5 linked regions of the Oryzias latipes genome follow. The protein of the gene in region 5 purifies or fractionates together with the protein of the main gene of each other region. This does not show direct contact. Links are inferred from orthologs where the notes say so. Each region holds a gene or a part of one and is shown on either strand. Other genes may lie near its edges.

Region 1 (6,672 bases), on a different chromosome or scaffold from region 5:
ACACTGATTGCGGCAGCTTTCCACGATCTGCAGCGGAGAATTGGGACCCTTCATTGTCAGCCAAACCATGCTCCTCTTCACATTTTCCATACCCCCACAACCCCCACCCCATGATAAAAACCACATCACACTCACAACCGTGCACATGTGTGCACTCAAGCGCCAAAACGCCCGTTTCTCACGGCTGGGCCCCCAGGCAAGCACACACTTTACAGGCCCGTGAAAGCAGCACCTCTCTTGCATCTCAGCCCATCACAGCACACGTCGAAAAGCGGACGAAAACTGTCTCTGCGCGGAGTCAAAACAAGCTGATGTGGGCCGCATCACGGGAGAAGTCACGTGTTTGTGATCCCGGCTGATTGGGGAGGTGGAGGAGGAGGTATGTTCTGCTGCAAGAGACATAGCCGGCGGTGACTGACAATTCGCGTGAAGCACCTGGTGCAGGACGGGAGAGGTGAACAGGTCGCTACATGCTCTCTGCTCTGTTATTGTGCACAGCAGGATGACGAAGGGAGCAGGGAGCACATAGCCTACGACAAAAGGCTCAGATGCCCATTCAAGTCAAACACCAGAAAGCAGGCAGCATGTTTCACTGTACACTGATTATTAACGGTTTATGGGCAAGTTTGGAACAACTAGGTATTTAAAAATGGATGAAATGATCCGATTAATATGTTTTCTTAAAAGAAGACCAACAAAACTACCGAGACAAAGCTACTTCTTGTTGTTTTTTAAGCAACTATGTGGTATAATCTGCTCTCATATCTGAAAAAAAAAGCTTTAAATGAAGTAAATTACAATGAGACCTTTAGAAAATATTCAAATTATTATATATACAGATTGCATGCACTGCAACTGGTTCTCTGTCAACTCATTTACAAAAAAGGACCTTGTGTCCTTGTGGGCATGTTAAAATGGGTTCAATCTAGAATTTTTAACCCAGTTATACAAGTCAAATGTGCAGAAAAAGGTTTAAACTTAGCTTTTTTCCTATCCACTGGTCTTCAAAGTACTTTCTCCCTGCTTCTTGTCTACATTTTGGCACATACTTGAAAAAGTCTTAATATTTATTGACACTGATGAGTGAGCCGCCATGACACTCAACCCAGCTCACCAGACATAATTGAGGGTTCAAGGGTCATGTCCAAGGATACCTTAACATGTTGCTAGTTGGGAGCTGACTAATCTGCCCCTGACCCACAAGCAAAAAAAAAAAAAAGTTGTGATGTTTTTATTTAATAGAGTAAATATATAAATCAACTAAAACCCTAAACCAAACAGCATCTTCTTCATCAACTAATGAAGTTTATTTCCAATCTGAAGCCACGACGTTAAAAAATTACTTAGGTTAATTGATGTCAGGTCTGTGACACAATTATCATAAAAATGAATGTCTTGTAGAGGCAGAGTATTGGAATGAAAAGAATGAAAGAGGCCATTTGATCTGTAAAAGTGTTGGACATATTTTGCTGTTAAAACAGAAGGTTGTGGATCTTCTGACACACAATATGTGCATTTGTGTAAACCACTTCTGTAATTTAGGCTAAACTTGATTTATATTCATTACATTTGTTTGTGAATGTGCGTGTGCATGGGTGTGTGATCGTGGTCCTGCGGCAGACTGACGACCCCAGCCTTCACCCAAAAGTGGCAGGGATAGGCTCCAGCAGCCATGTGACCCCGAACGGGAGCTAACTATACAGAAGATGAATGAATGAACGAACATTTGTATTTTCTTTTTTTTTTTTTCGTTGGACTGGACAGAAAAGAAGAAGAGGAAAGAAGGAAGGGATGTCAGTGACAGGGGGTAAGGGCACAGAAGAATGGGGGAAAGGGGGGGTGAGGAGATCTGGAGGATGATTACAGAGGTGGAGGTGGTCTTTTAATCCTTAAGCAACAAGATTTACATCAAAAGTGTTTTAATAACTGTTAGAGTCCCACTCGGATCATCTTATGATCCATTTTCAAAGCGTTCCCAGTCGTCTCTTAATTATGATTATGCCGTTTTTAGCCTAAATCAAAAAACCTGTGTGGTTCTATAGAACATAGTTTCTGCAGAGCAGCAGTAGTCCATCAGAAATTTTGCCTCTGAGTTGTGGGCAGAACAGTGGGTGCGGCGTAAGACATCCCCCTTCCCTTCATCCATCCGTTTACGTGCTCTTTGGCTAGCGTGCAGCCCCTCACAACCCCAACCAAACATTATTGCTGCATGGCGAAATGGCGAGCAATATTGAAGCTATCCAGCTGTACGGTTTTGAGCCAGATTCCAGCTCAGACGAGGAAAAACAAAGATCAACATGGATGCATCAGAAGGGAGCGGAGAAGGCAGTCTAAGGACTCCTGATTCACAAATGTTTCTCTTTTGGCTTTTCCCATCAGGGGTCGCCACAGCGAACGAGTCGCATAGTAAACTTGGCAATGTTTTACGCCGGATGCCCTTCCTGACGCAACCCTCTCAAAGCAAACGGGCTTGGGACCGGCACAGAAGGGAACAGGGAGCAGCCCGAAGTCGAACCCTGGTTTTCACGGACGGAAGGCGCCGCAAACCAGCACGAGCTAAACCGGCTCCCCTCCTGATTCACAAATATTTTAATTAAAAAAAAAAATTCAGAATTGAAACTTTAAGCTAGATTTTTTTTCAATATTTCCTCATGAGAAAAACACCACAAGAACATGGTAAAAAAATAACTAAAAACACGGCCTTTAAATACTTTTAAAAAACATTCCTCAACACCAAACTGTAGATGGGTTAGAAGTTTTATTTTCTACAAAGCAGAAGATAAACAAACAATTTAGAGAAACTGAAGAAATCTCTGTGTGTCAGGGACAATTTAAGACAACATTCCTTGTGATTGTGTCGATGATGCTGCCAAATGATTCAAGGAAGCAGAAAGGTTTGAGGGTGAGCCCAAAAGCTCCATCCTGCAGAAAGGAAGCCACAGGGCCCAGAAGCAGTGTGTCATTAGGTCAAGATTCATTTAAAAAGGAGCCGTTTCAAAGTGGAACAGTGTTCTGAGGTCAGACGAGTCCACATGTGATGGTCTTGTTGGTAATCAGACGCCATGTCACTGACAGACCCGTCAGTGTGCTCTCTGCGCTCTATTCAAAGCCGCCATCCTTGGCAGTATGGGGAGGCAAAAATGCTTCTATTGATCCCCATTTGGACCAACCGTTCGGTCCGTCTGTTTCTTCAACAGTGGCCGGAGTGGTGCTTTAGTGATAACAGTGACCACTGATGCCCGTTTTCTTCTGCTTGCCAAAAGCATTCGGCCAAAATGACATTTATGTTTGCACCACACTATAATCAAACGGCCTATGTCCTTAAATAACAATTGGCTGCACAAACAATAACCGCTCAGGCTGTTAACTGCCGGGCGGCAGCATCCAGTAAACACCTATTGTGGGGATTGACCTTCAGTGAAAATCAGGAACGGCACATTTCAGCTGCTTTCCTCTGCTGCTGCTGCAGAACCACCTCAGCCACCTCCATGGAGTGTGTGGAGCAGGAAGTGGATAGGTGCTCATGCTTCACATGTTTTAGTCCTTTAAATTCTTCACATGGGTGTACTCCCAAGTCACTATGTAATTTAAACAGCGTGCCTTTGAGCTCATAAAGATAACCAGATGCGCGCGTGCTGTAACTATCCTTTCTTTTCCATTTCAGAGCACACAGCAACCCCACCACCACCACCACCACCACCACCTCCTCCCTCCCTGCCTGCCTGCCTGCCTCTCTGCCTGTTTGAAGTGGCAGTCCATAGAAATGCATGTCCAAACACATCTTCTACACAAACATGAATGCCAGGGTGTGAGAGACCAACAGAAAAACATCAGCAGCTCTGCTCAAACTCAGCTCCACATGTTCCAGACACACCTGTGTGCATTCACTTACCCTGACTGGATCAGTTCCCGGGCTCCATGTGGGACCACCACAATCTCTGATGGGTTTTCTTTAGGTAAAATATGACACTTTCTGATTGATCCCCCTAAAAGTCATCAGTTTTCTTCCATTTCGCATCTTTTTGTGAGCATCTTTACCCAGCCTGAGTCCAAACTGTGTGTTTATCTGTGTTGATCTATGAGGGGAGAGTCATTTCTCCCGTGATACTTAATTTAACTTAAATGTTTGTATCATCAAGACTGATTTACACAGTTAGCGTTTCCTCTATTTTTTTTTTCAAAGTCAACACATCCTTGCTACGAACTTCAAATAGTTAAAACACAAATGTCCAACTTTTTCCTCAGAACTCAAACTCACCTTTTTTTTTTCTTTTTTCTTTTTTCCTTTGCGCTACATTCCAAATCTCCTCGGTTTTGGAGGCGATTCGCCGCGGAGTGGGTTTAATCCTCAGAAGAGCCTTTTTTTTTTAAAGCAGTTTAAAATTCCGACTGGGGAGCAGAGATGTCGAAAGTCTTTTCAAACTTCACAAGAGAGAAAAATGATTGAGAGAAAACGCCACCAAAGCTGCTGCGCGTCCCCAAGCTGGTGCTTTTTCGGAACTTCTTTTGTTCTGATGCTCTCATGGCGCACAAAAACTGCGCAAAACTTTGGTAAAAGTCGTGCAGATCGGCCAAAGATGTGCTCTTCTCTCGCTGCAACTCTTCGTGTGTTTATAGTAGCGGTCCCTGCAGTCCAATGGAGGCGTTCAGGGCGGGCGGGGAATACAGAATACGCTGCGTTCAAAACCCAAGAAAATAATCGGAATAAGGATTTTTACTAAACGTGTTCCTTTTTATTTTTTTAATCGGTGTTTTTCTAAATATTTTTTAAGTACATTTCTCATGCATTCTTACATCATTAGTCATAACTTTATATTATTCATAAATTAAATAAAAATGTGTATTTAATCTGTGCTTTCAATTTTGTTTTTTTGAAACAAATTTCGGGTTAAAAATTGTGTTTATGAGAATTTTACCCATCTTTCATTTATGCAGTTTTTTTAATTGTTTTTTTTTTTCATTATATTTTGGATATTGGATTTTCCTTGTTCTTTCTTTTCTTCTTTTTTTTAGTTCATTGCCATATGATTTTTATATTTTCTTATTATGTTTATGTATACATCTCTTTCCTTTTTATTTCAAAGCACCTTTTTTGCACTTGGTCATTTAAAATTGCAACTAAAATAAAGTTGTGTAATGATATAAACAAATAACCTCAGAACACCTCTGTGTTTAACCATAATTAGATTTTAAATTTCATATTTCCTTAAAAAATTTTACTGTAGCCAATATATGCTATTTGCTTGAAATTTAATAAATTGAAAACTCTTTTGGTAGCGCTGGTAGCGTTGATGGTGTACGTGAACGCCTCATTGGGTCCAGACGCCTTCAGAGCCCCGCCCCCACTGTTCTGACATCAGAGTGGAGAAATCCCAGGAATGCGGGAATTCTGGGAGAAGTCCTCTGCGTTTAATGGTTTTCCAGGGGCCGCGGGAGACTCACGCACAAAGTAGGGCCCCCCTCTCTTTTTTATGTTCCGCCGTTGCGTGCTAACGACGCTGTGAAGGAGTAAATTCAAATAACCGACAAATATAACACGTTTTTAAATATATGTTGATCCATATTTATCCCAAAAGTACCAACAAAAAAAAGTGTTTTTTTGTATTATCTCTACTTGTTGCAATGTTAAACTTTTACACTTTTTCACACTTTGTAAAAAAAAAGGCCATTAAAAGAGAATTTCTTTTTTTAATTTAATAACTGTACTTATTTAAAAAAAAGTGTTATCTAGAACTACAAAAATAAAATACATTTTTAAAGACGTCAAACAAAGGATTTTTCCTGGATGTAAATATATATTTAATTTTTCAAACATAGGCCTTTTTTTACAGAACACATGCAGGGCTTCTTTGATTTTCTGCCTTTTATTGCTAAAGTTTGTCAGGATTTTTAACTGTCTCAGATGTGAAAACTGAAGATTATCATACTGTATTTGTGGACAAGTTGCAGCCTCTTGTGGCTGAAACAGCAAATGACAGCCATAAAAATAAGCAAAGGACATACTTTCAAAAAATACTGAAAGAATTTATAACATTAAATTCTCAAATACAATAAATTTAACCTGCCATAGATCAAATGTTTAAGGCTCATCTCTCTGAGAGCCTGCACGGGGGTCAAAAAGATGCTGGCTGGAGCCTATCCCTTAATTTTTTTAAGGCCAAAGGCGGAGTACACCTTGAATGCGTCACCACATCTATACAGGCCCATCAGAATTGTAGTGATTACAATAAATCATTAGAACAATTTTTTTTACATTTTTGCAAAAAAAGAAAAGGATGATTCAAAAACTTCTGCTGTAAAATCTCTAATATATCTGCTTTCTTTTGTTTATGTAGAGCTGGCTTAGGAGCACATGTTCAGTCCTGATTGATTTTACATAATGAAACCTTTAAACGGCAAAAAATGTAATTACACCCCAACTATGTAATTTTATGAAGAAAAACGACAAAGACGTGACGTTATTTTGATCGTTATTTTGATCATTTGATCGTTATAAGTGACGTTATTTTGATCATTTGGAACATAAATTTTCTGTGGTGTCGTGCCATGTGCTGCCGATACACTAATATTTGGGTAGAAAATTGCTGTAATTGTTTATATTTGGGGGAAAAATTCAAGAAAAGTTAACACAAAAAACATTATCTTTGAGCTCTAAACCACTGGAATCACACT
Region 2 (6,705 bases), on a different chromosome or scaffold from region 5:
CGGCCAAAAAGGTTCCCGACCCCTGAAATAGATGATGATCATCCAGTTTTTTTTTTTGTTGCTTCTATTTCTTTTATTCTATTTCCTATGACACACACATTTCTTACTGTAACATGTTTTGTGTTAATAAATCTTAACTTAATAGTTTCTTTTTTAAAAGCTGATTTGCGTAATTTCCCTGTTGTGAGACTTGCAATTTTAAAAACAATGTATTTTTATAACAATTGGTAAATATAAAGACAAAATTTGCTTAATTTTATTTACTGTTCTTTAAGATCTTTCAACACTGAAGCTTATTAAGCACAAATCAAGAAATAGTTCTTAGAAAATAATTTAATTGAATAACTATATATGAAAACTAACCCTTGTGTAATTTAGTGCAACTCTTATAGTATTTTTTCCTAAAACCTCTCTAATAGTATTTCCATTGTGAATATGTCATAATTATTCAACAGGTCTATATCATACAAAATCAACCTTTTGAGTTCTGAAGTGTATTATATTTGTTCATTCCTCATAATAAGAAACCCCAAAGCTTTTTTTTTTAAATCCGTTCACAAATTTCTGAGTATTCCTCTAAAAACTTGTACTCTGAGCACCAGCCTCTCCCAGCAAGCAGGTTCTCACAAGCTGGCGTAGACCAGTGAGAACAGCCCCTTCCAGGAAGAGTCTGCACTGCCAGCACCACCCCCTTGCTAAAACAAAAAACACACACTTTCTCCATGGAGCTATAGCGGTATTTGACAAAAACACTTTCCTTTTATATGCACAATATGCACACCCATCTTTGCAAAAGTTTGGATGTTTGTTTTGGGGGCGAAACGAAGAAACACCGCTGAGGTTGACTATAGGTAAGTCACAAAATGTGCGGCACCCACACAGAGAGAAAGCCAGTGCCTCAGAGAGCAAGTCGCCTTACTTCTGAGTAAGACCAAAGCTCAGAAAAATAACTCTGTACAGTTATTTACAACTCTGTACTTTCTGTACATATTGTACATTTTTTGTTGTTGATGTGAGTACAGTATTTCTATTTTATTTTATTTATCTATATCACTCCAAAGCTGCTGCAATTTCATTGTATCATCATGTACAATGATAATAAAAAGATTCTGATTCTCATATTTCACTAAAAAAAGCATACTTTTGTGTGCCAAAATTAATATGAAATCATATACATGGATATTATTTACTATAAAAGGCTTAAGAATATAGTGTAGGCCCTTTAAGATACACACAAAAACTAAAAATACCAGACTATTTCAAAATAAGGATGGATTGTACTGGAATTGTTTCAATTCAATTAATCAAACAAATAATAATACTAAAGAAGAAAAAAAAGGTGTATTCATTTAGGCATAGGTATATCAAACTTAAGATGATTGATCATCATTCAATTGGAAATTTAAATGAAGGATAATTAAATGCCATTATAATTAATTCTAATCTTAGACACAGTTCTGTTTAAACATACAATACATGACACATTGAATTCATTACATTTAAAGTTTGTCGAAACAGTTAAACTAATTGCATGAAAAGGGGTGGGAGGAAACAAACCTATATACTCCAATGGACCCCTATTATGATTTCCTTTACTATTTTACTTGTTTTTTTGTTTTTATGTATTTACCATATCTGGTTTGCAACTTCTAAACTCCTAACATTGCATTAATCATCATAAGTTAAGTATCAAAATGGAATTATTTCAAAATTGATACTTAAAAATGGCTTGTATTTTCATACATGTTTCAATGTGTTTTTAATTTTATTTATAACATTTGTTATTATAATATATAATTTATTAATTCAAAATAAAAATAGAAAAGCTTTTCAACGCATCCCACTGGGAAAGGTTAACTGATGGACTTGGCACCAACAACTTGTGCAGCAAATCATTAGAAGTCATAAATGTGTTTAATGTCAGGCTGCGTTCAATATTTTATGAATTAAGCTTTTTCATCTTAAGTATTGAAACTCCCCCTGGAGCACATTATATCTGACAAAGAATCATATCCTCCAGAAATATATTTAGATAATGAAATAAACAGAATTGCATTGAAAGCCGTGCGGCTGAGAACTGATGGATAAACAGTAAAAATACTGAGATGTGCATGGGAGTGACTGACTGAGAGCCCCCTTACAGCACAGATCCTGCATGCATGCAAATAAGTTTCAGAAAGTTTTTGCTTCAAAAACCGAGAGGTGACTGTTTCGCCTTTAAGAGTTAAGAAACTTGAAACCTTGTTTGCGCAACAATCAGTGCAGCTCACAGCCGCCAAAGTGTCTAGACTAGCACATGATGGTAGTCAGCCAATGGCTCCACCGCTCTCCTCGGGGGCCCCGTGTGTGTGCGCCAGTCTGTGTGAGTGTGTGTGTGTGTGTGAGAGAGAGAGAGAGAGAGAGAGAGAGAGAGAGAGAGAGAGAGAGAGAGAGAGAGAGAGAGAGAGAGGTAGAGTGGGGAGAAAAGAAAAAGAGCGAGAAACGGAGAAAGAAAGAAAGGGATCTAGGTTGCAGTTTGGTCCAGGTCTGAGCAGAGACGCAGGCGCGCGCTTCAGCCACGGATTCGTGTAGTTTCCGCTTTCATGGAGGCTTTGGCTGGGATTTAAAAAAAGAAAAGAAAAAAAAGAACATCTTTAGAAAGCGGAAAGGATCTTTTACTTCTGCTGTATTTTCATTGGATTTAATTGGATTGAAGTGGGCTGCCTCACGCTCTGCGCGCCGGTGTAGAAAGTAGATCCAACAATTCGGGGAACTGTCATGGACTTGATCTTAAGGCTGCTCGTTGGGATTATGTTACTGGACGTGTTGTGTTGTGTTGTTGCGTGTTTTTAACAAACACACTGAAGGGTCCACTCCGCCTGGACAAGAAGCCAGCGTCTGCAGCCGCTCCGTAGCCCCAGCTGAACGCATGCCTGTCAGTTGGAATGCTGCAGTACGTTTGCGTCGCGGGTCGGTTGTTGTAGATGCAACAAACTCGCCTTTATTCTAATGCACCGTCAGTGCTCATCGGTTGGCTGTGCATGCACTGCACGGCGGTTCGGTGTCATTGATGATTTGCAACGACAGTAAAAGTGTGTGTAGTCTATCCGTACACGAATAACCCCCCTTCTAGTAGTTCGAGGTGTCGTATGTTCAGGACGAAACGCTCAGGTCTTGTGCGGCGACTGTGGAGAAGCCGTTTGATCCCAGATAAAGAGGGGGGAGATGGAAATGGCACAACTAGTGAGGGCTGTCGGGACGATCTGTTCGGCAACAACCCGGAGAAAATTCCCAAAACGGAGTTCAGACCGATGACCCCGAGTGGGTCCTTTGGAAGAGACTTGGGGTGCGTGTGCCCCGTGGAGAGCAGCGGCTCGGGCGTCACGTCGGACCAAGATGAGGGCGCAGTGTGCGTCCAGGAACAGGGGAGCCCCCGCTCTGTTCAGGACAGCGAGTGCAGGACGGTGACGTGCTGCTTATTTAAAGACCGGGACCACTTCGAGGTTAGGGGTCCGGAAACGGCTCAGGGTAACAGGGATCCAGGGTCGTGCCACTTCATGCTGAGGAACCTTGGAGGAGGAGACGGCGGCTCTCCTGACGCGCACGAGGCGATGCCCCGCGTGCTGTTGGAGCAAGAACTGAAGTCCGCCACATATTCTCTTTTGAAAAGGCTAAAGGAGAAGGCGCTGGATACTTTACTGGAGGCAGTGGAGTCCAGAGGAGGGATGCCGAGCGAATGTGTCATGGTTTCCGGGACGGAGCTGAAGTTTGGTGGACATGCGGCGTCTCCACCGCTGCTGGTGTGTAAAGTGTACCGCTGGGCTGACCTCCAGCACTCGGCTCAGCTCAAGCCACTCTGTGAGTGCAAGAGCTTTGGGGCCCTGGACTGCCCCACTGTTTGCTGCAATCCCTATCACTACAGCCGGCTCTGTGGGCCAGGTAAGACCCCCCCTGCAACACATCCTTTATGATCAAACTGACCCCCCCAATGTTGATCCTGCAACTTAATTTTCTATTAGTCTACATGATATGAGAAGCATGTGGCCTAAATTATGCTGTAAACCTGTATTGTCACTCAGATTAGAGTTTCATCTGCTCTCATACTTTAGAAGAAGCATCATCATCTTCCTTCCTTCAACATGAAGCACAGTAACTCCAAACTAACCAAGGACAGCCTGGTTGATAGTATGCTTTTAAACATTTGAAAAGAGGCTCAGAAAACTTTTTAAGGGCCTAAAAATCTTCCCATGACAGAATAAAGCATGACTTTGGCCTACAGCATCAGAACCAAGTGTTTGTCCGTTTCCAGCACTCCTTATAACCCTTGTCACCTTATAGCTTTAGATCATCTATATATCTATTGTCAGTTCAGATGTTTTTAGTTGTTTTTTTTGAGTTTTTACCCCCATATGATAAGATTGTCCAGATTCAGATGTTAGTTCCTCTCCATTGAGTTGGAGTGAGCTCCTCAAGACACACAGACTCCCTGACCCGTATTAAACGTATTAAAACTTGGCTGCGGATGGGGCCTGCGATTTAGTTTAAACGCTGGGCCACTCAACCCCGCTGACCCATTGACAAGGCTTGGTGTCATGTGTAAAGATGCAAGCGTCAGTATTTCTGTCTTCTCACTGGCATTGAAGGCGTATTTTCCATAACATCCACGTTGTCCAGAGCCAGCGGGCTGTTGCAAACATTTTAAAGTCACAAGTTCAGCACTATCAAAATTCATATAGTTGGGAAATTGATGAGTTACTGGATCTCAAAAGTGGAGCAGGCGTCAGAAATGATCAGACTCAAATACAGTAAAGTTTTATCATAAGTTATTTTTTAAATAAGTAAAACATTTTTCATGTAAATTGTTGAACATTTGGTACATCTGCATGTGAAGCGCAGGTTTCCTTTCCACTAAAACCCCCAAGATGAATTGTGAGGAGAGAGGCACATTCCCTGCACTGGGACTGAGGCTCATAGTAGACATAGCTCACATGCGCTCATGCGTGGCTCAGTAGAGCTGGTATTTCTTTCACGCTATTCAAAAAGAAGGGGGGCTATGAATAAAGACTTTAATTACTGGTTTAGATTTTGCAAAACCAGAATGTAAAACATAGAGACTTATATCTAATTATTACACAGGTAATGAAAAGGCTTTGAGTCAAAAGAAACTCATTCCTCAGGTTTAATCTTGTGCTTTATTTTAGCATTATTTTCTATTGTTTGAGTATATGAAAATAAAGTTGTCCTTTAAAGTTTTTTCTCTCTCAGAGACTTAAAAAACAAAACAAAAAAACAGGCAAAGTACTTAAAGTACTGAAGTGGACAGAAACTTCTCCTTCCTAATTTGCCAGGCATTATACTTTTCGAATGAGATCAGTTTCAAGTTGCGCTTTAAAAGCCCTTTTGTCCTGAGGAGGTCCCCTCATGCCATTTAGGTGAAGGAGTGGTGATAATATACAGTTTGCATACTACTGGCGCCAGACTGACTAGCTGTGTATCTGAGTGACTGAGTTCAGATCCTGGCAATTACTGCCGCCACTCTTAAAGGACCCGCTGCTATTATGCTTTTCTCCTTCCCATTTTCCCTGCAGGCGAGGTCACAGTGTGCTCACAAAGTTTTCTTTTCTTTGTGCTTTCCCTCTTGTGCAAGCTATTTTCCTCACTTTTTTTTTATTAGATGAAATCAAGATCCTGAAAACACTGAATTTGAAAAGTAGAGATTAAGTTAAACTAAAAGTTATCGTCAGACTGCGGTTGTAGAAAATAAACTATTCTGGTTTAATAAAAATGCTTAAGAACAATGAACAAATAAAAGTCTTTTGTGTTGGTTTTAGAAGGCTTTTAATCAGCTTGGAGCCTAAAAGACTTGAATTTATAGCAGACTCTAAAGTGTGAATATGTGGTCTCTTGCTCTGAAATGGAACTATGGTGTTGAAGCCTCCCTTGTGGTTGAAATTTAGTTTTGTATTATATCATTCTGTTCCTTTTATTGAAGGCTTTGAACATAGTTTTACGCAGAATCTGCTATAGTAAGCTCATTCTCTAAAGTTTCTAAAGTGGATTAAGGTGTGCACTAAAGTTCGATTAGACAAGTTCCAAATATATTAAACATTTATTTTTTTCCAAACTTAACTGATTTTCTTGCCTCGAAATAGCATGCTGTGATGTTAGCGTTGTATTATAAATGTCAGCTGGATCTTGTCAGACTTCAAACAGTTAAACAGAATTGTGTTTGCACGGGGCTGGCGTTTGCAGAGAAACTTTGGTGATTCTGCAGCAGATTTTCCGCCTAACCTTTCCTCCTTCCTTTCATTAGGTTATTGATGTTGCTGTTTTGTGTTACAGAGTCACCCCCACCCCCATATTCAAGGCTTTCCTCTAATGAAGAACACAAGCCACTGGGTAAGTTTGACTGTCTGCAAATAGTTTATTTATGTGGCGGCTAAAGCTTGTTTATTTTTTTTGAATGTGTGATCTTGAAGTCTTAATATTTTGCACATATTATTTTCCCCTAAGCAGTATTGCACAAAAATGCAATAAGTCATATTGGTGAAAGTTGTATTTTGCCAATGTCATAGTATTTTGTGATGATTTGTTTAGTTTTTTTGGTAAAGTTTGATTTATTTGCTATGAAACATTACGCTGAATGATGCATGAATTTACCTGACAGGTGTATGCAGAAGGAACGCAGCATGACTCCACTCTTTGTTTACACATTCAATATCATTT
Region 3 (5,508 bases), on a different chromosome or scaffold from region 5:
GGAGGCCTTTCATGAGGAAAGAAAATGAGGGTTTTTAGAAATCTCCATGTTTAGCTGGCAGTGTGAGGTGTTAGCTCACCTGCTGTTTGGACAATCTGTGAACATTTAGATGGAGCAGTCCACCCATCTCCAGTTTCACTAGAGGAACTGAGCAGAATGAGTTTGTTTACCTGTAGGGGGGATTGAAGCTGGGCAGAGAATGGTGATGGTTTTATAGAAATGGCCATTTGATGTCACGGTGTCATACATGAAGAGCAGAATGCTGCATTTTATGACAAAGTGCTAAAAAGTATTCAACCGTGACTGATTAGCAGCTTGTCTTTGAGTCTATTGGGTCTGTTTATAGTCGGTCTGGTGAAGCGATATTTGCCTAAACAAAGGATCGCTGTAACGGCGTTGCTTTACTGGCTTTGTAGCTTTTTCTTCTGCTTGGAATATTATCAGTCAGTGTTTTTTTTTTTTTTTTTTTTTTGCAGTTTTTCCTTTTATGGTTTTCTTTTCTCCGATGTGGATAGAAGAAGCCCGTGAGGCAGTGGAAGCGGGGCAGTTCGTGCAGTCCTGAATAGCAGGGTGTTTTCAGGCTGCAATGACAGGCTCAGACAGGCAGTCTCTCTAATGACCTGTGACGCCAAGCTCTGTCTCCTAGCAAAAACAAACACGCACACACGCAGAAGGCCGCACAGGTGAGCGCCGCTTGAAGGCTCACTGTGAACTTTTAAGAAGTCTGAGTCCTTCTCTTTATCCACCTGTGTGTCTAAAAGACATGTCAGGATCGGAGGCTGACATCTGCAGGAGACACAAAGTCTTATCTGGGAGATAAATCCCTCCTTTTCCCCCCGTTTAGATCGCTGGATGTTTTGTTTTCCTGTGCACGCCATGAGATTTAAAATAAAATCCCCCTCTGGCTCGGTTTGGTCCAACTTCAAAGGACACAAGCCCTTCTTGCTTTATGGAGAAGCATGCTTTCAGTTTGCGCCCCCCCCCCTTCCCCATCCTCGTCTTCCTCTCCTAATGTTGTCTTTTTCCCTCCCCTCTCCCTGCATTTAATGAAGGCTAATGACAGGCCGTGCTAAGTCAGCTTGGACCGGCAAAGATCCTGCCGCATTACCATTACAGTTAGTCTCAGACGGGACCTTCCAAATTACCGGTTACATTCCCAGCTACTGCCAAATGAAAGAGGGAGTCAAATGAGAAAGATGTGTGCTGGGAGGGACTTTGTCTCCCCTCTTTTTTTTATGTAAAAACTTGTTTCGACGGGAAAAAAATCCAGCAAAGAGACAAATCCAGATAAGAGAAGTCGCAACAAAGAGGTGGGGACCCTTCAAAAGCTTCAAAGGTACCTAAAGATCAGGAGAGGGAAGCAAAAGTTGCAGAAGTAACAGTCAAAATATGTGAAAAGCATTCCTTCTCTGCTCCCCGCCCCCCTCCCTGTCTCCCTCCATTTCCCTTGCGCCTGACTGGCTCCCACTTTTCTAGCTGAGAGCCAGATTTCTGCGGAATAGAGATATGAAGGGCGAGGGGGGGACGGCACAGGAGGCACTCCGAAGGGGGGGAAACAGGCGAGGGGGGGAAGGAGTTTGGAAACTAGAGCATAGCCATTTCTACACTTCTTTTACACCCAGGGGAAACTTTAGACCGGTGAGGCCTTGCTTGTCAACGGTCCAGACACCAGAGTTCGAGAGTTAACGGCCTGTCTCAAACGTCTGCCGCGCATGGTTTATGTGTTTGTGTGAGAGCTCTTCATCTGGTTGCCGCCAGAGTCATCCTAGCTTTATCTTTGTCAATCAAAGATGGGTTTTTATTTTTATTTTATATCCTCCAGCAGAGTGAGAAGTGTTGCTGTAGAGACGATGAGGACGGTAGGCTGACGTCAGTACATTGTTGGCAGTGCTGCTACAAAAATACAGTGAGCCAGACAGAAGATAAGCATTTAATGCCTAGATAAATATTGTAGTACATGTGGAAACTTGCCTGGCTGTGTCTCTGGGTTGATTTTCTTGTCAAAGATCCAGGAATTCCGACATGGCTTTCCTGCATGGCAGAAATTGGGGAGGACAGTTTTGTTTTGGCTCCCGACTTAAGAGAAGTCGCAATTTCCCAAAACAGTGATAAAGCATACTTTCTTCCGTTGCAGCAGATTTCCTTTTAGATATATTTGACATTTGAGTTTTCTATCCACTTCTCTTTGCACCTCTTTACTTATTTACCATAATCATTGATGTTACTTTTTTTATAACATTCTATGCTTCCTCTTTTTCAGATTCTTTGGCGTTGCAGGACTCTGAGCGAGGCTATTGGTGCGTGGTGGCTTACTGGGAGGAGAAGACACGCGTTGGGCGCCTCTATTCGGTCCAGGAGCCCTCTCTGGACATTTTCTATGATCTACCTCAAGGGAACGGCTTCTGCCTGGGCCAGCTCTGCTCCGACAACAAGTCCCAACTGGTGCAGATGGTGCGGAGCAAGATCGGTTATGGCATCCAGCTGACACGCGAGCCAGACGGAGTGTGGGTCTACAACCGCAGCTGCTACCCTATCTTCATCAAGTCGGCCACACTGGACAACCCAGACTCACGCACGCTGCTGGTGCACAAGGTGTTTCCTGGATTCTCCATTAAAGCTTTTGACTATGACAAGGCCAACAGCCTCCAGAGGCCAAACGACCACGAGTTCACGCAGCAGCCTCGCACAGGCTTCACGGTGCAGATAAGCTTTGTGAAAGGCTGGGGACAATGCTACACCAGACAGTTCATCAGTAGTTGCCCATGCTGGTTAGAAGTCATCTTCAACACCCGATAGCAGCAGCCTTTTCCCTCGTCACCCTCATCCTCGGAAAAAAAATACTTCACCCATCTTTCTTTTTTCGTTCCAGCGGCTCAAACACAGAAAAAAAAGGATTTAAAAGAAGAAGAAGAAAGTTTAAAATCCTGACAGACTTTGTTTCATAATTGACTGAAATTTAATTAAAGAAGAAGTGAAAAAAATGTATTTTATGTTAAATATAAATATATTATTAATTGTAAATATGAAGATGTTTTATATGCATCATTATTTATGTATTGTGCAATGTGTTGATGAGAAAAAAACAAGATGCACTTTGCTTAATATAAGTACAAAAACAAAGAAATGCCAAAATAATAAAAAAAAGCCAATAATATTTTGTATTCAGTCTCTTTGGTTTTTCCTTCTTTTGGGGGGATTTTAACATTATTATTTTACCAGCCTTCTTTTTGCACAATTTTCAAATCAGTTCATTAAATTGGATCCACATGTTCCCTCCATAAAGCCCCTCTAATTTTGTCTTCTTTATAACTAAAGTCAACATTGGCTTGACTTAGTGTTACTAAAGGGCTTTTAGGCCATGCCGTGTATCTTAAAAGCAATTTCCTCAAAGACAAAAATGAGTCAGACTTTGACAGAATCCCATCTCAAAGCCCCCTGTTTCTACAGCCTCATCATGCCTAAAAACTGTCTGTTTTCTTGAGTTATTTGGGGAAGAATGTCTCTCATCTTCTCTGTCATTACCTGACTCATGACATCACAGCCAGGAAGCGGTAATGGCGATTGTCAGGAACCAATAAAGTCAACAGTGGGTCCAGGTTTCTAAAGGAACCAGTTTATTCAAATGTTTGGTTAAGAGAAAGGATGAAGATTTTTTTTGTCACATCTATGAAAAGTAACTATGGAGACAAAACTAAAGTCTTTGATACTGACTATGCCGTGGACGCTATGGCCTATTTATGAACGCTTAAAGCTCTACAAACGAGACAAACCAGATCTAATAAACACTTAGTATGTGTGTGTGTGAGTCTGTCTGGACCTCGTCCTGTTGCTAGTCAGATGGGTGTCTGTGAAGAGGATTATTACTGTAAGCCTGCTTTACCCATACACTGTCTCAAAGCCCTACATTCACAAGACCCACTTTCCACACCATCCCATATCTACTCTGCGCTCTTTTTAGAACGGCAAGAACGACTTTTTTTTAACCCTTGTGCTATCTTAGATGACCCCACCCTTGCATTGACGTGTTCTCCCTAGCATGATAAAGGTGGGGAGGATTTCATGTAATCCATGGACACCAGTGAGGATCACAAATCATTGAAGAAAAAAGGTTCAGAGCACTGTCTGGTGGGTCTAGATGACCCAACTCCCAATGTTAAAGTGCCTAGGATAGCACAAGGGTTACACATAAAGGTAAAATGGAATTCAACGATGATTCTCCATGATGAAATTAAGCCCAAACAGTTATGAACTTGAACCTTTAGTAGATTCCTACTCTTGCATTCTTTCCCATTTAAAAAAAACCTGTAGTAAAACAACTGATTTTTCTTTCAACAAAGAGGACCCAGCACCAAAACAGTTATTTTACATCAGATGTAAACTGTGCAAGCTAAATGTTCCTCTAGCATCTCTGGACAAATCTCAAAATGACACAAAAAAAACCGGCTAAAACCCTCCCAGCTGTAATCCCTAACCTTTCAAATTTAGATAAAGTAGCTTGGTGCTTTGGGTGCGTGTGTATTTGTGGTTACATGACCCATGACTTCCCTCAGACAGGATGACCTTGTTCTATAATTCTATTAAAACTGTTACAGGATTTGTAAACAACCTTAACAAAACACATGTTTACTTTACAAATGTTTGCATCAATATTCTCTCCGAAAAACCGCAGCACTTTATGAGCTAGTAAATAAACCTTTGGGATAAAACTTCAACAAATGTAGAGCAATTTTCTTTAATTTGTTCAAATCAGATGCAAATGATCAAGTAAATTGTATTTTTAGTAGTCTAAAAAAGTAGCATATTAATTACTTACCTTTATTTTTACATTCAGAGCAGTTGACAAAATGGCCCTCGTGAAATGGCAGCATCTACTGCTAAATTTCACACGCTTTAGATGAAATTAAAGTTATTATAAAATAAATGTCTAAAATGTATTTTTCATCATTAAAAAATGTTTTATGCTGATTCTAAAAGGAGGTTTGAAATTTTCCTGGGTTATAAGGAAGTGAAGAGCAGAAAAGTTTGGGATACGACTATTACCTGGAATTTAAACTTTAACCTTTGTGCTAACCTATGGGGTCCAGATGACCCGATCCTTACATTGACGTGTTATTCCTACCATGACAAAGGTGGATAAAGGTGAAGAGGATTTCATGAAATCCATGGACACCAGTGAAGATCACATATCAATGATGAAAAAAGGATCAGTGCACTGTCTAGTGGGTCTAGATGACCCAACTCCCAATGTTAAAGTGCCTAGGAGAACACAAGGGTTACACAGGAATTATATTTCTTTTTTTGGCATGAATAAAAACAGAAATGCATAGAGACACTAGTATCTGCTTAACATGTGAGAATGTTTTCTACTTTTGACAGTAGCTTGTAGTTCTTTACAGTTACTAGTACAAGGGTTACAACCAGGAAAAGGTGTCAAGAGATGTAAGTAAACCTCATTTTGTTTTCTTGGAGAGTGTTGTTTTTGTTTTATAAAACGTATATTTGTGTAGT
Region 4 (5,902 bases), on a different chromosome or scaffold from region 5:
GTAAGCTAACAGTAAAATGAAAGATAGTACAACAAATAGGTATGTTGTTGCTCATCTCTCACAGTTGTACTGAATAGATGGAATGCGTTTTCACTTGCTCCAACAGCAGCCTAGACTTTTAAGATTAATTGAGCTGCACTATGAGCAGGTGATCTCTATGTAGGACAGGTAACAGTAAGTTACTGTTTACCTAAACACAAAGGAAGCCATTAAAAACATAGCATTTATTGCTGTCAGCACTTTTGGCTTGATTCAGTTTTATGCCAGCGTTTACATTAGTGTTAGGCTTCTGTCCAGTCGCTGATGCTGTACTCTTATCCTCTGTCTAAAGGATTACATGCAGGTCTGCTGACCAGGTAATTTGGCTAAAATGTTCATAAAGACAGAGAAAGGTTGTGACTTTGAAAAACTTCTTTGTTTCTGAGAAGGTCAATAATCTTGTGAATTCCTTATAACTTCATAAACAGCATCTTGGCAAAAGACAAGCAAGTTAAAATCAGCATTCTTTAGACTTTAGGCTTTTATTAATGAGTCTAAAGGGGAAACTACCAGAAGAACTGTTATTCTGCTGAAAAAAGTGAGTTTTAAAGTTTCTTCTTGCAAAGATTAGTGTAACATAAGTTTTTTTTGGTCATTATTTTTGTGTGTGGTCTTTACTGTAATCTAAAAATTGAAAAAAAAAGATTTTCATTTGCTATATAACATTTTTGTTTATAGTGGAAAATCAGTGGTATTTCTCACCAGAACATGTTGTTTATGGTTCTGCATTTTTCCAGCTGACCACATACAACTGCACTTAATGTCTGTAAATAATAAATAAGCTACCTGTCTAATGTGTCCTCATGTCAGCAGCAAAAGATCTTATCCTACGTGAACAATTATTTCGCTTTCATTAGGTTAACATGTCAACAAGGACAGGGTGCATTCACAAGAGCTACACAGATTTATTTTTTTAGTTTGAATAAAATTAATCTAAAAATACTTGATCTCAACTTTCTGAGAAGTCATCTCTGGAAACCAATGAAGAAAGTTATTACATTTTTTAAATTTGATAGTCAGGAGTGACTGCAGGGTACCAACTTGGTGCATTATATCTATTTATTTATCCCCCAGCCCTGACTGGGATGCTGCATCCAGAAGAGAATCTGCAAACAAGTGTATTTGCAGTTGTCTCCTGCATCAACAGTCGATGGATCGAATATTTGCTCCAGCTGACGGCCTGACCTCGGTGGACGCCTGGCCAATATTGTTGGACAAATCGACTGTTTCCCCGGGGACAAATGCTGCCGATGTGGAAGGATCAGCTTCACTGCAGTCTATGAAAAATGGTTGGATCAGACATGGGACTGGACCAGATGTCATGGGAAATTCTAACAAAATGAATCCTTTTCTGTCTCAATTGTTAAGTTTCCCATTCTTTGGAAGAAAAGAGATAAGGCTGTATCTTTGTTTTCCCCTCCCTGACAGTTACACCGAGGGTAATATTCTTTCAAAAACCACAAATCTTTTCGACGAGTATTTACAAATGACCAATTTTCATCCATGCAATATGCCTAAAATGTACGGTTGTGTGACACAGCCTTAAAAGTTGAAACAACCCATCTTGTTAAGTGGTTTAAAAAAAAAAAACACTAAATATTTTCATGTTTACTTCAAATAAATCTTTATTTAGGAGAAAATTTCATTGTACATGGCTAGTGTAGAGCACATCAGATTTAGACAGATTTGAAGGTATAGCAGCTGAACATAAATATTTCATGTTTTTAGACACCTGACATTTAGACTAAAGAGCCAACAACCATTTTCTGACTTCATCAGGAATGTTCCAGAAGAAAGTTTCAGAATACAAACATTTACAAACTTCCAAAATGGTTTATTGTGTAAAGGCACAGTCAGCACAGCAACCAAACATATCAGACAAGATGAAATTTGAAGAAATATTTATAAAAAATATTTAGTTTTGGTTAGTCATTTACTTACAAACACACATTTATGAATGACAGTTATTGAAGAGTAATTCAAAATATATACGTTTTTAATAAACAGATTTAAATATAGGGGCTTTCATGTTGAATGGTCATATCTAAATAATACTTCTAACAGTAAAGTGATATTTTGGTTTGATTTATACAATCACGTTAAAATCCTGCTGTTCTATATCACAAAGATTAAAGTGCTCATCTGTATAAATTAAGATATGCAAATCATAGCAGTTCCATTTGTAATATAGAAGATGTTTATAAACAGCTCTCTCTTTAATATTGTATTAGTAACCTTCTTAAGGCATAGCTGAGGTAACACCGTCAGACAGCACTATTTCTTGAAACTCTCTACTTGCTTCCCGCTCTCTGGTTTCTCCTGAAGCCTGTAGTCTTCCAGGATGGCTTGTGCCGTTTGCTTGCCCGTTCTTTTCACCACGGCTTTGATCCCGAGGTTGTCAATGTTGAAGGCAGTGATGCCGACATTTATGGCTGAATTGACAGCGTGGTCTGTGGCCTGTCCCGCTGCGGCCCCGTACCTTGGAAGTCAGATTGGGTAAGAGGTTAGAGCAAAAGAAAGATGCAGTGATTTAGGACTGAAAAGACACCGAAAAGGAAATATCCATGTGAGGGTCATGCAAGTGCAGGATTTGCATACAAACTTGTAAAAATTCAAAGTCCAATTAATGTTTGAGAGTAGGCAGGCATGACCAGAAAATTAAAAGATGCACATTTCTGTTCTTCACATGGACATAGAAACCATAACTACGACCTCCTGAATGTTGATTTCCCACCAAGTCAGAAACAAAAGAAGTTTATTTAAGGAAGATTTCATTAAAATCAATATTTTTGGGTGATTCAGCAGAATGGAATCAGCTGGAATCAACTTTGTTACGTTAAAATCGGAGCATATAACGTGTTATTAAAGCAGGAAAAGATGTTATAGTTAAATTATTACCAAATTAGGACATTTATGTCAGAATAAATTCTGTTAAAGTAAAGGAATGTAGTGAATTAACACAGAAGGGAGGGAAGTAATGCATTTTTTCCTCAAAGCAAAATGTTAAGAAAACAGAGAATTAAATTATTCATATGCGATTAATGAAGTGATTAGTAAAATCTCTAGTGTATAGTTAGTTACACGTCTTCTCATTAGGTGTGTCGAAGACGTTTTCTAGGCCCCTAAATCTGCAAAGCAAATTGAAAATGTACAAAAAAAGTGAAAATTTAGTTATTTGTAATATGGTGCAGAAACATAATCTGAATCAAAATATAGCTATGATGGCGGGCACAATTAGCAGGTGAAAAACGTTGAAAATGTACTTGTGTTTTACGGTGGTGACCGTCTCTGCTGCAACACTTGAAGCAATGTCCTTGGCTGCCGATTCCAAACCGGTCCACATGGTCGCAAATCCTAGACAAAAACATGGTTCCAGCACACATTATGTTCAAAATTCAACTTTTCAACAAATAAATGATATGCAATAAGAGTCATTTGGTGGTTTACCCAATACAAATCTTAAAGTGGAAGTTTTAGAGGTGCTGAAAACTGAAAACATTTGCTCCCATTTTTTTGGTTCTTGGTATGACCCAATGACCCAATTGTGGATTCAAACCCACAGTCTAGTGTCTTGAGGCAGACATCCTCCCACTAGGGCACAGAACTGAGTTTTCCTACTAAAACCTAACCCTTAATGTACATATTCACTTACACAAGTTTTAGATTTTACAAATGATTACATTATTTATTTATTTATTTATAGATAATACTGATCTACAGTGAATTGTTTATGCACAGATTCAGTTCAGTGGATCAAAAACAAACGTTTTTTTATTTCAAACATTTCTCTCAAGTATTTCATGTACTTGTATCACTTTTTGGTCTTGAATTAATAGAAAAATTAATACTTTTCAAAAATAAAAGCATGGTTAAAAATGACATTTCAAAGCTCATCAGAACTTCTCTTATGAATTTAGTCCTAACGTTCCATAAAACCTGGAACAGTTTAAAAACGTTTTACCTTTTTTAGTTTCTTTCCCTTTAAAATGCATCTTAAAATAAAAAGAAGAAATAAGAATTATGCAACATTCTTTTTCATCATTTAATTGAAGTAATTAGTTCATGCCCAGGTTTTTCTGCCGAGATTATTTACAAACTTTATTTTATTTAATTTGAATCCAAAAGGGGGAAATCATGTTTGGTTGGTAAGAAGACATTTTTGCAATACTTTTTCTTAGATTTGTATCCATCAGACATTACCTAAGTATGTTGCTTTTTTTTCCTACAATGTGCTTTGAGTTGACTTACTGGAAATGTATATAATTAAGACCAAGTCTAAGACCACTTTTTTATTTATTTTTTTACTAAACTAAAGATTTAGAGCATCATTATCTAAAAATCACAGAAGAAAATAAATCAACTCTTTGAGGAAGAGTTTGTGGCCAAGCAGGTGGAGGAAGAGCAACAGAAAGGTTTTCTCTGCTTAACTTTTGCTAACCCTGACAATAAAAAAAGTAAAGCCTTTCATGAAAATCTTAAGAATTCACTTTGACATTAAGTTGTTCAATCAACAAAATCTAAATGTGCGATCATATTCATGAATTTATTCCTTTTTTTATTTACACAAGTTTATCCAGTAAAAACATAAAATTAAGTCAAAAAACTGGATTGAGGTCTTTAAACTAGTTCTGCTTAAGTTTCTGAACGTCAACATGAAGTTGGTTCCACATACATCTCAAGGAAAACAAAGAACTGTTTTGCTTTACCTTGAACGCCACTGGCAGCTACAACCATCGCTCCATCAATGTTTGAGCGCCCGTCCTTGTCCTTCTTCATGGACTCGGGGATGAGCTTGCCTCCATGTTTTTTGACATGAGGCGCCAACTCACGGCCCACACAGCCAGCAACTGTACAAACACCATCCACTAGAGACAACAACAACGACAACAACAACAACAACAACAACAACAACGCTCCGTTAGAGATCTACAATAAAACCCGGATATAAACTCTGTGAAAAAAACTTTTCATGACTATGAAGATGTTACCTAGAAACTGGCTGACTTTAACAGCTCCACCGGTCGCCTGTTTTGCCACGTGGAGGCTTTTGGTGACAGTGGGGCTGACTTGGGTGGGCTTGTCCTCTGGTGTGATGTGCTCTCTGAGCATAGATGCCCCTTTGTGAATAGCCTTGCCAGTGTATGCTGCCCCTTTCACCAGACCCCAGCTCAACCAGGATGCCCCTAACAGGATAACACACAGCGAGTCAGTCAGGATTATTGACCGATATTTGATAACCAATGGATAAAACACCAAACGAAAGGATAACAAACTTTAAATAAAAAAGTGTGCCTTTACCAGTCAAGATTCCACTAGCCACCTTTTCACTCCATTCAGGGAGAACGTTCTCTTCCTCCTTCTCGGTTGGTGCTGGTGCCGTCTCTTCGGGTGTAGCAATAGGCACTTTCTGACTGAGATTAATTTCTTCTGCTGCTTCATCTGGAGCCTGAGAATACAAACACATCGGTCAGCAAAAAGAAGATGTGTAAAACAAAAATGTTAATCTGAAAGCCGTCAATCAGTTTGTGCAGATGATTCTCGTCTCTGCCATCGTGCTGCCGATGTGAACAATAGCTTCTCTCATTTCCTGCTTTCTAATTACAATGAATCCTTTGTCTGACACAAACAAAAGTCTGCAGAGTCAGAAATCTTTGAAGCGACAGCCCCAAACCTCTACTTAATCTCCTATCAGAACAATTAAGAGTGCTTACTGTCTGACGGGGTACGACTTCCATCAGAGAAGGTATCTAGGTTGACTTCATTTGTCAAAAATTAGTTTACAGGGCATCCCTCTGCTCAATCACCTCTGCCTCCATTGTGGCTGGACTGAAACGTGTCTTTGGGTTGACACTCTTGGATGGTT
Region 5 (6,945 bases):
AATGTTTCTCCCCACATCCAGTTAGAGGTTTTCCAAAAGGAACTCTTTGGCCCCAGGCAAAAATGATTTAAGGGTCCAGAGTCAGTTTACCGTGTCCAGTAAAAAGCTTCTAAATGGGACGTGCTGTGCACGCTCCTTCAAGATGCTCTTTTATGCTTGAACGTGTGACATTTATTAGCTGTTAGAAAATGATGTGTTCTTGTTTCCATCCTAAAACCCTTTTTCCATTTTTTTCCTCTTTGTAGAAGTTTTATTCTGATGCCTAGTTTTGCTATAATTTTTGCTCTTTTGCCAGGAGCAAGTTTACGAAGGAGGAGGGGGCTAGCTCTGAGGGAGTTTCAAAATACCTCATGGGTTGCTTTTTCTGTAATGGATCGCAGAGTTTGTGGCTTTTGCTGTCGTTGCTGACAGCTCCAGACTCCCTCCATGATGGTTTTCAAGCATTCTGTTGACTGGGCTATCCAGCATCTCAAACAGTCTGATGCTTCATGAGGTCCAAACACAAAAATCACTGTTCTTGGTTTAATTTTTGAAAGCTTTTGTCAGAACACTGCTGGTCTCATTGTGATCTTTTTATTTTTTTTGTCTAATAAAAAAAATTACCTTTTACTTATTCTGCTGTTCAATTTTTGAATGATTCTCCTTCAGGTCGAGTGAATACCGATACGCTTCAGCTCTAAAAGGTTCTCTAGAGTTGGCGGAGTGTTTATAAAAGGTTGGTCCTGACTTTTTGAGGAGCCATTGATCGTCTGCTAAGCATTTTTATTTTTAAAAGGTAGATTTCTTTAAACTGCCCTCTGACTCATTGCCTGCATGGCCACAAAGTTCTAATAAGCTCTGATTTGAAGTGAATTAAAAAAATTGTGGCCTGCATGCAGCAACTTACAGGCGATAAAAGTAAATTTTCTTCAGGGCATGCCATGTTCTCAAATGATCTCATGCCACTCTGTAAAACTGCAGGTTTATAGTCTGACAGAGGACTTTGGTCACAAAGTTGTTGCTTTTGTTCTTTTTTACGGGATTTCCCGGCCCTTACCTCACCATTAATGTCTTACGTCTTTTCATCAATGATCATAATTCCACTCATTTTTTATCTTTGTGATATAAATGTAAACTGGTATCCTAAATGTAAAAGAATATCGCAGTAATTATCCATATTGAATTTGTTTATGTCTCAACATTTCCTTGTCTTCTGTGATAGAAATCCTAACCTGATATGTTTCTGTCTCCATTACGCTCTGCAGGGCTGCTTTCACAGGCTTGACATTACTTAGATTTAAGGCTCAGGAACCTTCCCTAAAGCTTTGTTCTTCCTTCCAAATCCCTGAGAAGTTATTGTCGGAAGCTTTTATTTCTCTTCTTTTTATTGCTTCGCAGTTGGATCATGGAGTTTTGTGTGTTTGTGTTCTCATGTTTCTTTTGAAACTAGGTCTTATCCTCACAAAGACAACTGAACTCATTCTTATATGTCTAAAGAAAGCATTAGTTGTACAGTGGGGGGGGGGGGGGGTCTTGTTCGATGATTCTGTACGTGGTCCTTCTTTAAAGATCAGAGGTCTGTAATGTTTACCACAGCCACACTTCAACTGTGAGAGACAGACTGAAAAGAATTATTCAGGAATTCACATTGTGTGATTTTTAAACATTTCATTTCTACAAAGGTGCTGAAATAAGAATTTGGTCAATCAACTTTACCTCAATAATTTGTATCGCAACCCTGGTTTCAATGACAGACGTCATATGTTTCCTGTGGGTCTTCACTAGGTTTGAACTCACTCTAGCTGCTATTTTGGTCCATTCTTCCTTGTAGATCTTCTTAAGAGCTGAAATGTATTGGAGTTGTTGCTGGGCAACACAGGGTTTCAACTCCCTCCCTATATTCCTGGTAAGAGGAATAATGTGACCTTGGCCCGCCGAGAAGTTGTTACATTACAAACCCAAGCTTTTTCAAATGACAAGTTTTTTGTCTACTCCTGATCCAAAGACAATTTGAAAAAAAGAAATCGTCAGAAAAGCAATTTTCATTTAAATTTTTTTTATACATGTCCTCCATCACAAGAAAAAGACTAAGAACATTTTAAAAACACAATTTTCATTGGCATGGATCTTTAAAACAGTTATCCTGTTTCCTTTGAAGAAAAGCGGCCCCAACGCATGATGCTTCCACCATCATGCTTCACAGTCATTGAGAAATTCTTTCAAAATATTTTTAATAACACAAAAAAACTAAACAATGAGAAAAACTAACTGTTTTGGTTTGATGTTTTCCAATGTCTCTGCAAAGTTTCCATTGAGGAATTAAAGTTTGACAGCTTCCAATAAAATTATGTTTAAATAGCTGAAACCAATAATTAAATAACTATAATAAAGTTGTCAACCAAAATAATAAACCAAGCTTGCAAGTTTTCAATTGTTTTAATTAATACAACACAAATTAGAATGTACTTAAATACAGATAAATATTATTTAAATAAAATATGAATCCGTAAAAACCCTCACATGGTTTTAGCAGACATGTTATATTAGACTGTTGGTTCTGACCCTGTCTGCCGTTATCGGATCTGTTGTTATTACACAGCAGAATTCGGGGTGGCGCGCGCCCGTTTCACTGGTCGGAAGCGTACAGTAGAGATGGCAGCAGAGCCGTAGTAGACTGCGAGGCCTGTACGGTTCCCGACAACCGCTACGTGACGAGCAGGGATTGTAAATGGAGGAGCGAACAAGGTAAAAACAACACCGCCCGTGTTCTTTCTTAACCCATAACACACCAAGTTCCCCTCACGACGGTGAATGTGTATTTTATCCATTTGACTTTGCTTCCCGTCATGGGGGACAATTAGCCAAGCTGCTAAGTAAGTAAGTTAGTTAGCACGCCGGCTAGTAGCTGGTTGCTAACTCTGTTAAGTTTGTTACGTTAGCTAGCTAAAGAAGCTACACACCTAAATAATAAACACACGATAAAGTTTCTTTATGCGTCCTAATATTAACACTTCGATATGTAGGCAACCATTATTAATGGCAATTTAAAGGCTAGGTATCTATAGCCACCATAACAATACTGGGAAGCTTTATTTTAGACTCAAAAGAAATCAGAAAATATCACTCAATATTCGTAAAGGAATAAAATAAAATGGAAAACAGAAAAACACTAAGCAGTCAACATCACGGATAGTGTAGAAAACTGAGATCCTTCCAAAACCTCCCAAATGGCACTTCAGGAATCAAACGTCACTAATTTGAGGATTTAAAAACACCAGTTACAACAGAATTATTGTGTTTAACGAGTCATGCATATGGAGCAGGAGAGTTGTTTAAAAAAAAAAGTAAGATAGCTTTTGAGGTTACGTTATAAACTTTAAATTAAATGTAAAGCTTGGTTAATAGTTTTAATTTCATTGTTGACAGTGTTTTGTAATTCCATGTTGTAAATTGCACTTCAAACAAGGAATTGTATTATTGTTTTGTAATTGCTTGATACATACTGTGATATACAAGTCAATTTATAAAGGTTTTACAGCTACATTTGCAATTGCATTTGAAAATACATTTTTTAAGGGGGAATCCTTTATTTTATTAGAAAACCCTCTTGATTTAATAGATTAAAAGAAATTTTCCATATTCCTTTATTTTCATTGTACTGTCCCCTGGTGCATTTCAAATACACTTTGCAATTCAATTTAATTAACTGTTTAGCCTCTCCTTTTATTTTTTGTGTGACGTTCTGGGGCCTTATAGTAGAGGGAAACTGGTACTTGAAAGTACCCCCGCTCTCTGATTGGTTACACTGTGTCATGCTGTCATGGCTACCTCTTAGAGCAGAGCTGTCCAACCTCTGGTCCTCAAGGTCTACCACCCTGCCTTGTTTTACTGTTTTTCACTGCACCTCTCTCTGCTGACTCAGGTGTCTCCTTGTTCCGCTTAACTGAACTCACCTGATCCGGGTAATCAGCCGCACAAAGTGGAGGCAGAGCTGGAAAACAGGCAGGCCTTGAGGACTGGGGTTGGGCAGCCCTGTTCTATAGGATCATGCTCTTTAACACCAGCTTCTTTTAGTGAATTCACATAGTGGAAGCCACAGCAGTTCTGGATTTTTGGGCTTCAATAACTAGTGATAATTCATCCTTCTGATCACAGATGCAGGTTGTTTATCTTATTGACTTCATTACACTCAGTAGTCCCTTTGAATGAGCTAAAACAACTACAACAGGTGTAGATTTTGTGAGAGGTTTCTTTGCAAGAAAAGCTATTATTGTAGATATCTGATGATTATTTCATAGTGTTAAATCTAAAGAGAAGTAGGGCTGTGGATTATTACTTGAGTGGCAATCTGATTCATCTACAGAAAACACTTGATAGCTTTACTTTGATAGCTTTACTTTGAAGATTGATTCACTTTCTGTGACAGTAGCACAGGTTTGTTTACTTTATATTCTTAAATCCAGCATTATTCAGCAATTTTAAAGTGATAATTACATTGCCTGAAATGTATTTGTATTATACTCTTCTATGTTTATAAAGATCGCAAATGAATGATCTTAAACGTCACAAATATCTGTTTTAAATTTTTCTTGTACTGATTGTGGATATTCTAGTTTCTAGATACTCCTTACAGCCCTTGTGAGAACCTTTTGGCAAAAGCACGCAACATTTTTGATCTTAACAAGTTGTGCCTGACTCTACAATCCATTCTAATTTTTGATCTTTGGTTGTTGTTTAAAGCCAGGCTTAGATTGTTCAGTGACTGTTTCAATCGTCTTTTCCCACACAGCTTTAAACCGGTAAAGTCCTTTTCTTTGGATATCAGTAAAACTGCTCCGTTTCTATGACATCAAGGATTCCTCCTCCTGATCTAGAATTCCCTCTGCAATGCTCATACTGCTGACATGCGGAGTGTGTTGAGGCTTTGTCATTCATCAGCTTCCACTGATCACTTCCCACAACAGAAGCCAGCCTTATCTTTCTGTTCAAGAAAAAAAATTTCACACTATCGTACCAACAGAAATAATTCTCACACACTGATTGATGTCTGATCCTCACATACATATAACTGAGTAAACAACGGCTGATTGATGGCTGCCATGTTTTTTGCAAAGCATTTTAGATAGGGCTGCAGCTATCGATTTTTTTTTTTTGTAATCGATTAATCTAGCACTTGATCGATCGATTAATCGAGTAATCGGATAAAACGATTTGTGTGTGTTTTTGAACAACCAAAACAAATAATGCATAACAAAAATGATGTGGTTGTAAAATGAACAAGCATTTGGCTTTTATTTCTCAACAGAGGTATTTATTTCCAATTCCAAAAGTTTGGCTCCAAAATTTAAGTGCCAAGTTGGCATTGCCAACAATTATAGAACAATGTACAGTTAAGTGAACTTACAGTAACATGTATAACATGTATTGTAAAACTAATATGAATATAAACTTAGTTTTTTGTCTTCTTAATACACAACATTACAAAAAAAGGATTGCACCTTCTGCAAATTTAGTTTAGTTAACCTGGGAACAAAAAATGAATATAAAATATCGAGCCAAACAGGTACACAATGTATACAATGTATAAAAAAATTATGTAAATAAAAGAATTATAAACAATTATAAATAATAAGCTGTAATCTCAAAACAAACATCAAAATGTACGTGTTTGTGTGCGTGCGTGCATGTGTTTGTGTGTGTGTGAAGGGGGTCTTTTTTTAGGCTATACTCTCTTGCAATTGAACGTGATACGTTTACTACTTTAAAACATCATCAAAGTTAAACATCATATCTAGTCAAACCGCATCACGACATCGCTACAAATGCAGTATGGGATTAAAATCAGCGAACATCAATAGGCTTAAACTATGTTAATTTACCTTGTTTCAGCGATGCTTGGTGAAACAGCATAGAGTGGATGTCTTCTGTTCAGATGCTGAATCATGGAAGATGTACTGTTGTCGTATGCCAGCTCTATTTTGCCGTGACATCTCACGTTTTCTGCCGTTTACTTATAGATCTATTCTCCGCCATCGCACCTACTAAATTCAAAAGGCCCGTGTGAATAAACGGTCCGTGTGACACAATCAAATCCCTGCGCCGCGCGTATGGTGCACGTAGGATTTTAACGAGGCTTCGAGGCAGAGTTTTTGCCTCAAGGAATTTTTGTAATCGAGTAACTCGAGTAACTCGAGGAATCGTTTCAGCCCTAATTTTAGAGACTAAAATTAATTACAGGAAATATTCATTCCTATTTAGTAACATTTTGCAATATTATTATTGGGTGAGAGGAGAAAGGTGTTGATGAGTTGATCGGTTTAGATGGAGCATTTGAGGTTATCATTTCAGCATTTGTCAAAAGATCTGTGCATGATGAGAACTCAGAAAAACACTTATGTTCATGTGTCTATATTATTTTTAATTTTTGGAAACATGCAAAATATTTCTGAAGACTGAAAACATTTTACAAGTTTGCAGAAAATCTTTACAGCTGTAAATCTCCTTTACACACACTCAAATATTTTTACAGCCATCAATCCTTTTTATACGAGGATACATTGGTATTGCAAAAGCAAAAAACCTTTCTGCTATTACAACTTTTTTTTTTTTAACAGATGCAGACATTTTGTTTGAAGAGGCAAAACATACTTGCATGTGTGAACATCATTTTAACACAAACTACAAAATACCAATAAAAGAAATATAACTCTATAGCAATAGGGAACCTGCTGAGTTACATTAGCAGTGGTTTGATATCCTGCTTGACACTCCATTTGTCATGGCAACAGACAGCATTATCATGCAAGCACAGATGAGTAAATATTAGATCAAATGAGGCCTCATGGCTTCAACTTTTTAAAGGAAAACATTTGGGCCCATTTTCCTACAATGAATCCGGTGAATGTAGCATTCCCAAACTATATGCTTGATGCTATGGGCTGTAACCTGTAGTTAAAAATAAACTTA

The links.
Region 1: the proteins of wwp1 (region 5) and ptpn14 purify together in Homo sapiens (affinity purification with mass spectrometry; 3 studies listed by BioGRID). This does not show direct contact. The link is inferred for Oryzias latipes from reciprocal best matches to the Homo sapiens genes WWP1 and PTPN14.
Region 2: the proteins of wwp1 (region 5) and smad6 purify together in Homo sapiens (affinity purification with western blotting; 3 studies listed by BioGRID, with this or other methods). This does not show direct contact. The link is inferred for Oryzias latipes from reciprocal best matches to the Homo sapiens genes WWP1 and SMAD6.
Region 3: the proteins of wwp1 (region 5) and smad7 purify together in Homo sapiens (affinity purification with western blotting; 3 studies listed by BioGRID, with this or other methods). This does not show direct contact. The link is inferred for Oryzias latipes from reciprocal best matches to the Homo sapiens genes WWP1 and SMAD7.
Region 4: the proteins of wwp1 (region 5) and spartin purify together in Homo sapiens (affinity purification with mass spectrometry; 5 studies listed by BioGRID and IntAct, counting the BioPlex papers as one, with this or other methods). This does not show direct contact. The link is inferred for Oryzias latipes from reciprocal best matches to the Homo sapiens genes WWP1 and SPART.

The regions. Positions count from the first base shown.
Region 1 is NC_019882.2:9,165,476-9,172,147, reverse strand, and holds the start of ptpn14 (tyrosine-protein phosphatase non-receptor type 14), read right to left. Parts: upstream 4,656-6,672; 5' UTR 4,259-4,655; intron 1-4,258. UniProt on the Homo sapiens protein: Protein tyrosine phosphatase which may play a role in the regulation of lymphangiogenesis, cell-cell adhesion, cell-matrix adhesion, cell migration, cell growth and also regulates TGF-beta gene expression, thereby modulating epithelial-mesenchymal transition.
Region 2 is NC_019864.2:16,415,879-16,422,583, reverse strand, and holds the start of smad6 (mothers against decapentaplegic homolog 6), read left to right. Parts: upstream 1-2,475; 5' UTR 2,476-3,128; coding exon 3,129-3,918; intron 3,919-6,321; coding exon 6,322-6,378; intron 6,379-6,705. UniProt on the Homo sapiens protein: Transforming growth factor-beta superfamily receptors signaling occurs through the Smad family of intracellular mediators. SMAD6 is an inhibitory Smad (i-Smad) that negatively regulates signaling downstream of type I transforming growth factor-beta.
Region 3 is NC_019870.2:9,745,239-9,750,746, reverse strand, and holds the end of smad7 (mothers against decapentaplegic homolog 7), read left to right. Parts: intron 1-2,260; coding exon 2,261-2,796; 3' UTR 2,797-3,132; downstream 3,133-5,508. UniProt on the Homo sapiens protein: Antagonist of signaling by TGF-beta (transforming growth factor) type 1 receptor superfamily members; has been shown to inhibit TGF-beta (Transforming growth factor) and activin signaling by associating with their receptors thus preventing SMAD2 access.
Region 4 is NC_019871.2:8,300,523-8,306,424, reverse strand, and holds the end of spartin, read right to left. Parts: intron 5,486-5,902; coding exon 5,338-5,485; intron 5,223-5,337; coding exon 5,028-5,222; intron 4,905-5,027; coding exon 4,746-4,904; intron 3,394-4,745; coding exon 3,303-3,393; intron 3,168-3,302; coding exon of another isoform or gene 3,113-3,167; exon of another isoform or gene 2,519-3,112; coding exon 2,314-2,518; 3' UTR 1,639-2,313; downstream 1-1,638. UniProt on the Homo sapiens protein: Lipophagy receptor that plays an important role in lipid droplet (LD) turnover in motor neurons.
Region 5 is NC_019878.2:10,304,974-10,311,918, reverse strand, and holds the start of wwp1 (NEDD4-like E3 ubiquitin-protein ligase WWP1), read left to right. Parts: upstream 1-2,591; 5' UTR 2,592-2,724; intron 2,725-6,945. UniProt on the Homo sapiens protein: E3 ubiquitin-protein ligase which accepts ubiquitin from an E2 ubiquitin-conjugating enzyme in the form of a thioester and then directly transfers the ubiquitin to targeted substrates.